Callithrix jacchus: one gene and its partner. The protein of the gene in region 2 purifies or fractionates together with the protein of the main gene of each other region. This does not show direct contact. Links are inferred from orthologs where the notes say so. Each region holds a gene or a part of one and is shown on either strand. Other genes may lie near its edges.

Evidence for each region. Proteins that work in one complex are often made in the same cells at the same time.
Region 1: the proteins of MYLK4 (region 2) and HSP90AB1 purify together in Homo sapiens (affinity purification with mass spectrometry; 3 studies listed by BioGRID and IntAct, counting the BioPlex papers as one, with this or other methods). This does not show direct contact. The link is inferred for Callithrix jacchus from reciprocal best matches to the Homo sapiens genes MYLK4 and HSP90AB1.

What each region holds. Positions count from the first base shown.
Region 1 is NC_133505.1:52,714,339-52,717,732, reverse strand, and holds part of HSP90AB1 (heat shock protein HSP 90-beta), read right to left. Parts: intron 2,642-3,394; coding exon 2,435-2,641; intron 2,333-2,434; coding exon 2,173-2,332; intron 1,970-2,172; coding exon 1,836-1,969; intron 1,702-1,835; coding exon 1,393-1,701; intron 1,012-1,392; coding exon 846-1,011; intron 633-845; coding exon 442-632; intron 316-441; coding exon 168-315; intron 54-167; coding exon 1-53. UniProt on the Homo sapiens protein: Molecular chaperone that promotes the maturation, structural maintenance and proper regulation of specific target proteins involved for instance in cell cycle control and signal transduction. Undergoes a functional cycle linked to its ATPase activity.
Region 2 is NC_133505.1:28,780,670-28,785,565, reverse strand, and holds the start of MYLK4 (myosin light chain kinase family member 4), read right to left. Parts: upstream 3,308-4,896; 5' UTR 3,163-3,307; coding exon 3,041-3,162; intron 1-3,040. Other genes in the region: ATPase WRNIP1, read left to right, coding at 3,756-4,580.

The DNA of each region.
Region 1 (3,394 bases), about 24 Mb from region 2:
CTTCCGGACTCGCTCCACAAAAGCTGAATTGGCCACCTGCTCTTTGCTCTCACCTGTAGGGTTATTAAATGGACTCAGTGTTCAAAGTGCCTCAGACTGCCAGTTCCCAGGTAGCCCTGAATGTGCTCCCTCTTCCTCCAAAAAGGCTTCGATCAGAACCAACGTACCAGTGATGTAATAGATGGACTTCTGTGTCTCCTTCATGCGAGAAACATATTCTGACAGAGATGTCATCTCATCTCCAGACTGGGAGGTGTGATAGCGCAGCAGCTCAGACAGGCGGCGACGGTTAGTGGAATCCTCGTGAATTCCAAGCTTGAAGAGTGGGAAGAGAAAAAAACAATCCAACTTAACTAAAATAACCTTGCCTTCTATAAGAATGGTAGAATTTATCGTAATTACTAAGAAAGTGGTAAAGGGAATAACCATGTGCCTCCTTACCTTGAGATTTTTAGAGAATGCCTCATAGAATTTCTTATAATTCTCCTTGTCTTCTGCCAGCTCAGAGAAGAGCTCAAGGCATTTCTTAACAATGTTTTTGCGAATGACTTTCAAGATTTTGCTCTGTTGGAGCATTTCTCGGGAGATGTTCAGAGGCAAATCCTCAGAGTCAACCACACCACGGATAAAGTCTGCCATCAACCAGGATGAGAAAACTCAGTAAAAACAGCTAGACCAGACCTGGTACCCAGATTCAAAGAGAAGGCGCTATTGCCCCCTGAACCCTCACACACTATGTATTGCAGAGAACTATTACACCTAGGAATAAGACTTTTTAGTTGCAGAATGTTGAAAACCTTGCCCCAAGACTTCACCCAACTAAATTATGCCAAGGACATACTCACTGAGATACTCTGGTATCAACTCATCACAGCTGTCCATGATGAATACACGACGGACATAGAGTTTGATGTTGTTCTTCTTCTTCTTGTTCTCAAAAAGGTCAAAGGGAGCCCGACGAGGAATGAATAGCAATGCCCTGAATTCCAACTGACCTTCTACAGAAAAGTGCTGAAAGAATCCAAACATAAACAAGTAGTAGTACATTTCCAAAGAGTGCCTTTTAGCCCCAACAAATTACCTAAAAGTGGAACAATGATCCTCCCTAAGCCTAAAGGACAAAGCACACACAACAGGCAGCTCTCTAGAAAACCGAGCCTTAATGCTCTCAATGATCAGGGGCAGACATTACCAAGATTACCATCAGAAGACAAAGTGAGGTCATTAGGAAGGATAGCTCCTCACTGTGACAGGGTAATCAATGAAATCACATGGTTCTCAACATTTCTGTGATCAGGAGGACAAGTTCCATGTGTCTATTACCTGCCAAAACGCCACCTACTCACTCCTCTCCATATTTGTATGTTGAGCCAATGTGCAAGGGCTTCTCACCTTGACTGCCAAGTGGTCTTCCCAGTCATTGGTGAGGCTTTTGTAGAATTCTCCATACTCCTCTTGAGTGATGTCATCAGGGTTTCTAGTCCAAATAGGCTTAGTCTTGTTTAGTTCTTCCTGATCAATGTATTTCTCTTTGATCTTCTTAGTTTTCTTCTTCTTATCCTTACCACTATCATCCTCCTCGTCTGAACCCACATCTTCAATCTTGGGCTTTTCTTCATCATCTTTATCTTCCTCTTCTTTCTCACCTTTCTCTTCCTCTGCCTCATCATCACTAATTTCCTTCTCTCGTTCCTTCTCCAACTAAACAACAAAAACAAAAGTTAGCCTTGAGTACTAACCACTAACAGGGAAAGCAAAAGCCAGGGCCCATGATGACTCCAGAACAGGAAACACCCTGCACGTTAAGTGAAAAAGGTTTAAAAGTCCACACTCACATAGAGGGTGATGGGATAGCCTATGAACTGAGAGTGCTTCTTCACTACTTCTTTGACCCGCCTTTCTTCTAAGTACTCTGTCTGATCTTCTTTAAGGTGGAGGATCACTTTGGTACCCCTGCCAATGGGCTCACCTACAAGAGTCAGTCACAAGCATGTAACAGGGTGAAAATATAAAAGCAGTTAAGACTTCACCAAGCCAAAAAAAAAAAAAAAAAAGTATATTAGCGAGGCTGCTATAATTTCAACTGCTTTACAAACAGGATGCTAAAAATTTCTGCCACTTCACAAGCCCAGAAAACTCCAACCCAGCTTAACTTGTAACGGGAGAGCTTACCATGGTCAGCACGCACAGTGAAGGAACCTCCAGCAGAAGACTCCCAGGCATACTGTTCATCATCATTGTGCTTTGTGATCACAACCACTTTCTCTGCCACCAGGTAGGCAGAATAAAAGCCAACACCAAATTGCCCAATCATGGAGATGTCTGCACCAGCCTGCCAACAAGTTATTTAAAGTCAAACACAAGTTTTCGAAAAGCAACAAACCAAAGCACACTGACAAATATGAATGGTGTGTGCCTGCAAAACTGCACATACCTGAAGAGCCTCCATGAATGCTTTAGTACCAGACTTGGCAATGGTTCCCAAATTATTTATGAGATCTGCTTTGGTCATGCCAATGCCCGTGTCTACCAAAGTCAAGGTACGTTCCTGAGGGTTGGGGATGATGTCAATTTTCAGCTCTTTACCACTGTCCAACTTTGAAGGGTCTGTCAGGCTCTCATAGCGAATCTTGTCCAAGGCCTGAAAATACAAATAGGAATTTGCTTTTGTTTTCCCTTTAAGACAGGCTCTGGCTCTGTCGCTCAAGCTACGGTGCAATGTTAAGGATCACAGCTCACTGCAGCCTGGACCTCCCAGGCTCAAGCCACACTCCCACGTAGCTGGACTACAGGCACATGCTACCATGGCCACTTAATATTTTTTTTTTTTTTGCAGAAACAAGATCTTGCTATGTTGCCCTTAAAGTCCTAGATTCAAGTGATTCTCCTGCCTTGGCATTACAGGTGTGGAGCCAACAGCTCGACCAATTTTTTTTTTTTTTTTTTTTGAGACAAGTTTGGCTCTTGTTGCCCAGGCTGGAGTGCAGTGGCGCAATCTCAGCTTACTGCAACCTCTGCCTCCTGGGTTTGGGTTCAAGTGAATCTCCTGCCTCAGCCTCCCAAGTAGCTGGGATTACAGGTACTCGTCACCATGCCCAGCTAATTTGTTGTTGTTCTATTTTTAGTAAAGACAGGGTTTCACCATGTTGGCCAAGCTGGTCTTGAACTCCAGGCTAGTCATGATCCACCTCCCAAAGTAGTGGGATTACAGGCATGAACCACTGCGCCCACTTTTGTTTTGTTAAAGCCCTTATCTTCAAAGAAAATCTTGGTGTATTTCTGTCAGCCTCAATCTGATTGCCCCTTATGTTGAGGCATTAGAACCATAGTTACACCAACCCACTTATCCTGGACATAGTCCCTTCCAACTTCAAAATGGCCACAAAGTAAGACA
Region 2 (4,896 bases):
CAAGGCATTTCTTTTATAACAATAAAGGGCAGTAATAGAGTAAATAAAAGGTTCTACTTACAATAGCAAGAAAATATATAAAATGTGTTAGAATAAACAATAAGAAATGTGGCATAGGTTCCAGAAGATGTAGTGGAAAGACAAGAAGAGAAAGGAACATGAGGTTGGGTTAGGGGAAAGTAATCAGAGTAGGAAGAATAGATGACCACTTTGAGGATGCTGACTAAAGATGGCAGGGATGTGAGTCATGTGGGATTAACTGGACTCAACTGTCCAGCATACCCTGCGTATGAAAACGAGGGTGCAAGATGATGCCTAAAGGTTCGCTAATACTTGGACGCTTATAAAATACCTGCTCGTAGGCACTGCAGCCAAGCTGACTCTACTTGTGGTTCCCGACAGAAGGTCTATCTGAGTCACCACTGAATCTATCCCCCCGATTCTGACTCGGGGAAGGAAGACAGAGAAGATGGTTACATACTTAAAAGTAAACCCCTGAGGCCACCTGCAGACAATTCAACAGTGAGGTATTAAAGGAGAAAATGGAAGCCCAGATTTCTGCTTTACATTGATGTCATCTCCTAAGACCTTATAATACATGAGTTTAAATTTATTTGTATTTATGGTGATCTGAAAAGAAAGTTTAAACATGGTTGGCAAAGCAATAGAAGAGGAGGGGTGATTTTTCAAAGGATTTTTCATTTATTTTTCTACCATCGCCACCTAGTGGAGAAAACCTTGAACTTCAGACAGAGGGGGCTAGGGTTTAGGAAAAAAAGAATATAGGGCCTACTGGGTGCCAGGCACTATACTACTTTGATATTGACAAGTTCATTTAATTCTCACAACAGACTGTGGGGTAGGCATTCTTATTCCTCCTTTAGATTTGGAAACTGAGTCTGAGAAGTTATATAGTTTTTCTCAAGGTCACGCTATGGACATCAAAACCCGGGTTCTTAAAGTCAAGGTCTAGTGCCATTTTCACCTTATAGTTCATCCAAATAACTCAACTTCATCTATACGTGTGGCCATGGGAGTAAAATACATACATACATACATATACATACACACACACACACACACACATATGTACATACACACGGAATCTTTGCTTTGTATTTCTTATACGTATTATATAGATTAGTAAAGCACAAATAAAAAGGAAATGGAATTATACTATATATACGCTTTATATCTCTTAATTTTTACTCCCACAGTACATAATAGTTTCCCATAACAATACTTTTGAAAACACTTACGTAACAATAAAGTTGGACACAGAATTACATCTGTATGTAAGTACTGTCTAATCTTGAAATACACCTTAAAAGACTAGGAAAATGTGCTAAAATGCTAACAATGATTATAAGTAATTTTCTATGGCATGTATTTTTTTTTAAAAAGAAATTTTAGGCCTTACATTTATTAAAAGAAGAGATTTGGCCAGACGCTCTGGCTAATGCCTGTAATCCCAGCACTTTGGGAAGCCGAGGCGGGCAGATCACGAGGTTAAAAGATCGAGACCATTCAGGCCAACATGGTGAAACCCTGTCTCCACTAAAAAAAAAAAATACAAAAAATAAGATGGACGTGATGGCGCGCGCCTTAGTTCCAGCTACTTGGGAGGCTGAGGCAGAATTGCTTGAACCCGGGAAGCGGAGGTTGCAGTGAGCCAAGATCACGCCACTACACTCCAGACTGGCGCCTGGTGACAGAGTGAGACTCTGTCTTAAAAAAAAGAGAGATTCAAGAAACTTCACAATTGTCTAGTTTGTTATTATTTAAAAAATTTTTTGGATGGGTTAAGAGTGATCATGTGTCCATATATTTCTATAAATGTTTAAAATCGGTGTAGTATATTTCCAAATTTAATAACACTTTTCAAAACCTGCTTTGAGGTCGGCCCTAGAACCTCTTTTTCCAAGAAGTACTTGCTTCTGTGATGTTCCTGTGATGGTCCTTCTGAGGGACAAATAAAAATAAAAGCTCAGGTGGGCGTGGTGGCTCATGCCTGTAATCTCAGCACTGTAGGAGGCTGAGGCAGGCGGATTACCTAAGGTTGGGAGTTCAAGACCAGCCTGACAAACCTGGAGAAACCCTGTCTCTACTGAAAAAAAAAAAAAAAAAAAAAAAAATTAGCTGGGCTGGTCGCGCATGCCTGTAATCTCAGCTACTCGGGAGGCTGAGACAGGAGAATCACTTGAACCCAGGAGGCAGAGGCTGCAGTGAGCCGAGATCACATCGTTGCTCTCCAGCTTGGGCAACAAGAGTGACACTCCGTATCAATCAATCAATGAAGCTTACGATCCTCTGTCTTTTGCACGATTTCAAATTATACGATGATAAACGAAATAAAATTTCTTAACTCATGTTTCTCTAGCTTTTCTATTAATCTTATTTTTGAGCCTAACTTTTTTAGTTAGAAAAACTTTTAACCATCAAGCCAGGTGTCGTGGCTCAGCCTGTAATCCCGATGACTAAAAAGACTGAGATGGGAGGGTCCCTGGCGCCCAGGAGTTCGAGGCTTCGGCATTCCAGCCTGGGCGACAGAACAAGTGAGATCCTCAAGCTGCTCTTCTGCAGATTAAATAAAAATTCCACGTCTGCCAAATTTCATAAAAGTCTTCCTTCTCCCTCAATTCACTTACGTCCTCTGGTTACCAAAAATGCATGATTAAGATACATATTTTAAAACGAAATATTTACAGAAAAGCAGAAAATAAAATCACAGAACACGGTAATTCATTCAGAGATGCAGAATGCCACACTTGCTTTAATCTGATATTCTATTTCTATCCCTGTCTACGACGTAACTGCACACGGGCACCTCTCATCATTTGGTTGCTAAGGAAACCTAAGGCTCCTGTTTCCGATTTGCCCCTATCACACAGTGGCCCGCGAGAAGAATCTCTAGGCTCGAAGCGCGCTATAAGTGAACCACCCTTGACTAAAAAGGTCAACAATTCTAAAAGGGGGCGAGGGACTTTTATTTGCATTTCTCTGGCCGCCACTGAGGTGAGCATTTCTTTCACCTGCGTACTTGTTTGTATTGTTCTGCTGTTCAGGTCCGTTGTCCAGTTTTCTACTGGAGCCTTTTGGGGGTGTTCTCCATTTCCTTTTAGTTATAAACGACCCGCTGCGGCCTCCTCCTGTTCCTCCCATTCATCAGCCGGGCGCAAAAGACCGGGAAAGCGACGCTCGCCGCTACAAGAATTGCAGGCAGTCCACCGCTCCGCCCCGCCCCGCCGTCGCGCGCCTAGCAGGCTCGAGTGGGGCGCTGCCTCCTCCACCGCTCAACCTCGCGCACGCGCAACACGCTCGCCCAGCGACCCGCCCCCCCCTCACAAATGCCGGGCTCATAGCCGGAAATGGACGCACGGCGGCTGGGGCGAACGGCTGCGGACTACACTTCCCCAAGTGCAGTGCGAGGTATTGTCGGCGGAGATTGGGACAAATGGCCACAGACTACACTTCCCGACACGCCGCGCGGCGAGGTGCGGCCGCCGGGACTAACAGCAGTGGACTACACTTCCCGACACGCCGCGCAAGGCGCTACCAGCGGCCGGCCGAGGGCGGGCAGACGCGGGAGCTGCGGACGTGAGGCATGAGCTGCGCCCTCCCTCGACCCGCTAGCGTCCTGCCGGCTCCCAGAGCAAGGGTCGCGCGGCGCGGGGCCTAGTGGAGGGCAGCAGAGGCCTCAGCGTGCGCACGGGCTGCTGCGGCCGCGCCGGGCGCCGGGGAGAGCGGCGGCCGCCATGGAGGTGAGCGGGCCGGAAGACGACCCCTTCCTCTCGCAGCTGCACCAGGTGCAGTGCCCCGTGTGCCAGCAGATGATGCCCGCCGCGCACATCAACTCGCACCTGGATCGCTGTCTGCTGCTCCACCCCGCGGGACACGCGGAGCCCGCGGCCGGGTCCCACCGCGCCGGCGAGAGGGCCAAGGGATCCTCGCCACCCGGCGCCAAGAGGCGGCGGCTGTCGGAGAGCTCCGCGCTGAAGCAGCCGGCCACCCCGACGGCAGCCGAGAGCAGCGAGGGCGAGGGCGAGGAGGGCGACGACGGCGGCGAGACCGAGAGTCGTGAGAGCTACGACGCGCCGCCCACGCCCAGCGGCGCCCGCCTCATCCCCGATTTCCCGGTGCCCCGCTCCAGCAGCCCCGGGAGGAAGGGGTCTGGGAAGAGGCCGGCGGCCGCGGCTGCAGCGGGGAGCGCGTCTCCGCACAGCTGGGACGAGGCGGAGGCGCAGGAGGAGGAGGAGGCGGTGGGCGACGGCGATGGCGATGGGGACGCGGACGCCGACGGCGAGGACGACTCGGGGCACTGGGATGCGGACGCTGCGGACGCCGCCGCCGCCGCCTTCGGGGCCACCGGCGGGGGCCGCCCGCACCCCCGGGCGCTGGCGGCCGAGGAGATCCGACAGATGCTAGAGGGCAAGCCGCTGGCGGACAAGATGCGTCCTGACACGCTGCAGGACTACTTCGGGCAGAGCAGGGCGGTGGGCCAGGAGACCCTGCTGCGCTCGCTCTTGGAGACCAACGAAATCCCCTCGCTCATCCTATGGGGGCCGCCGGGCTGCGGCAAGGTGAGTGCCGCCTTGGCCGCAGGGCTTTCATAGTTATCTTGGCCGTGAATGCCGCTGGCGGTCCCATAGCCGGGTATGCTGCCCCCAAAGAAGCCGCCTGGCTTGCCTGGATATGAAGGCCCAGAAGTGCAGACGCAGCCTACGTAGCTGGGGCAGTGCCTGGTCCACAGGTGGAGTCTGTGATGGGTGTGAAAACGGCACACACCCCCCTCCCCAGATTCGTAAGGCAGGCTTGCCGAGTTTTAAAAATAACGTTGTCTGTGAATCCATAGTTTTACAAGATGTGGACTCTTAGATTTGATCTGCCTTTATCTTC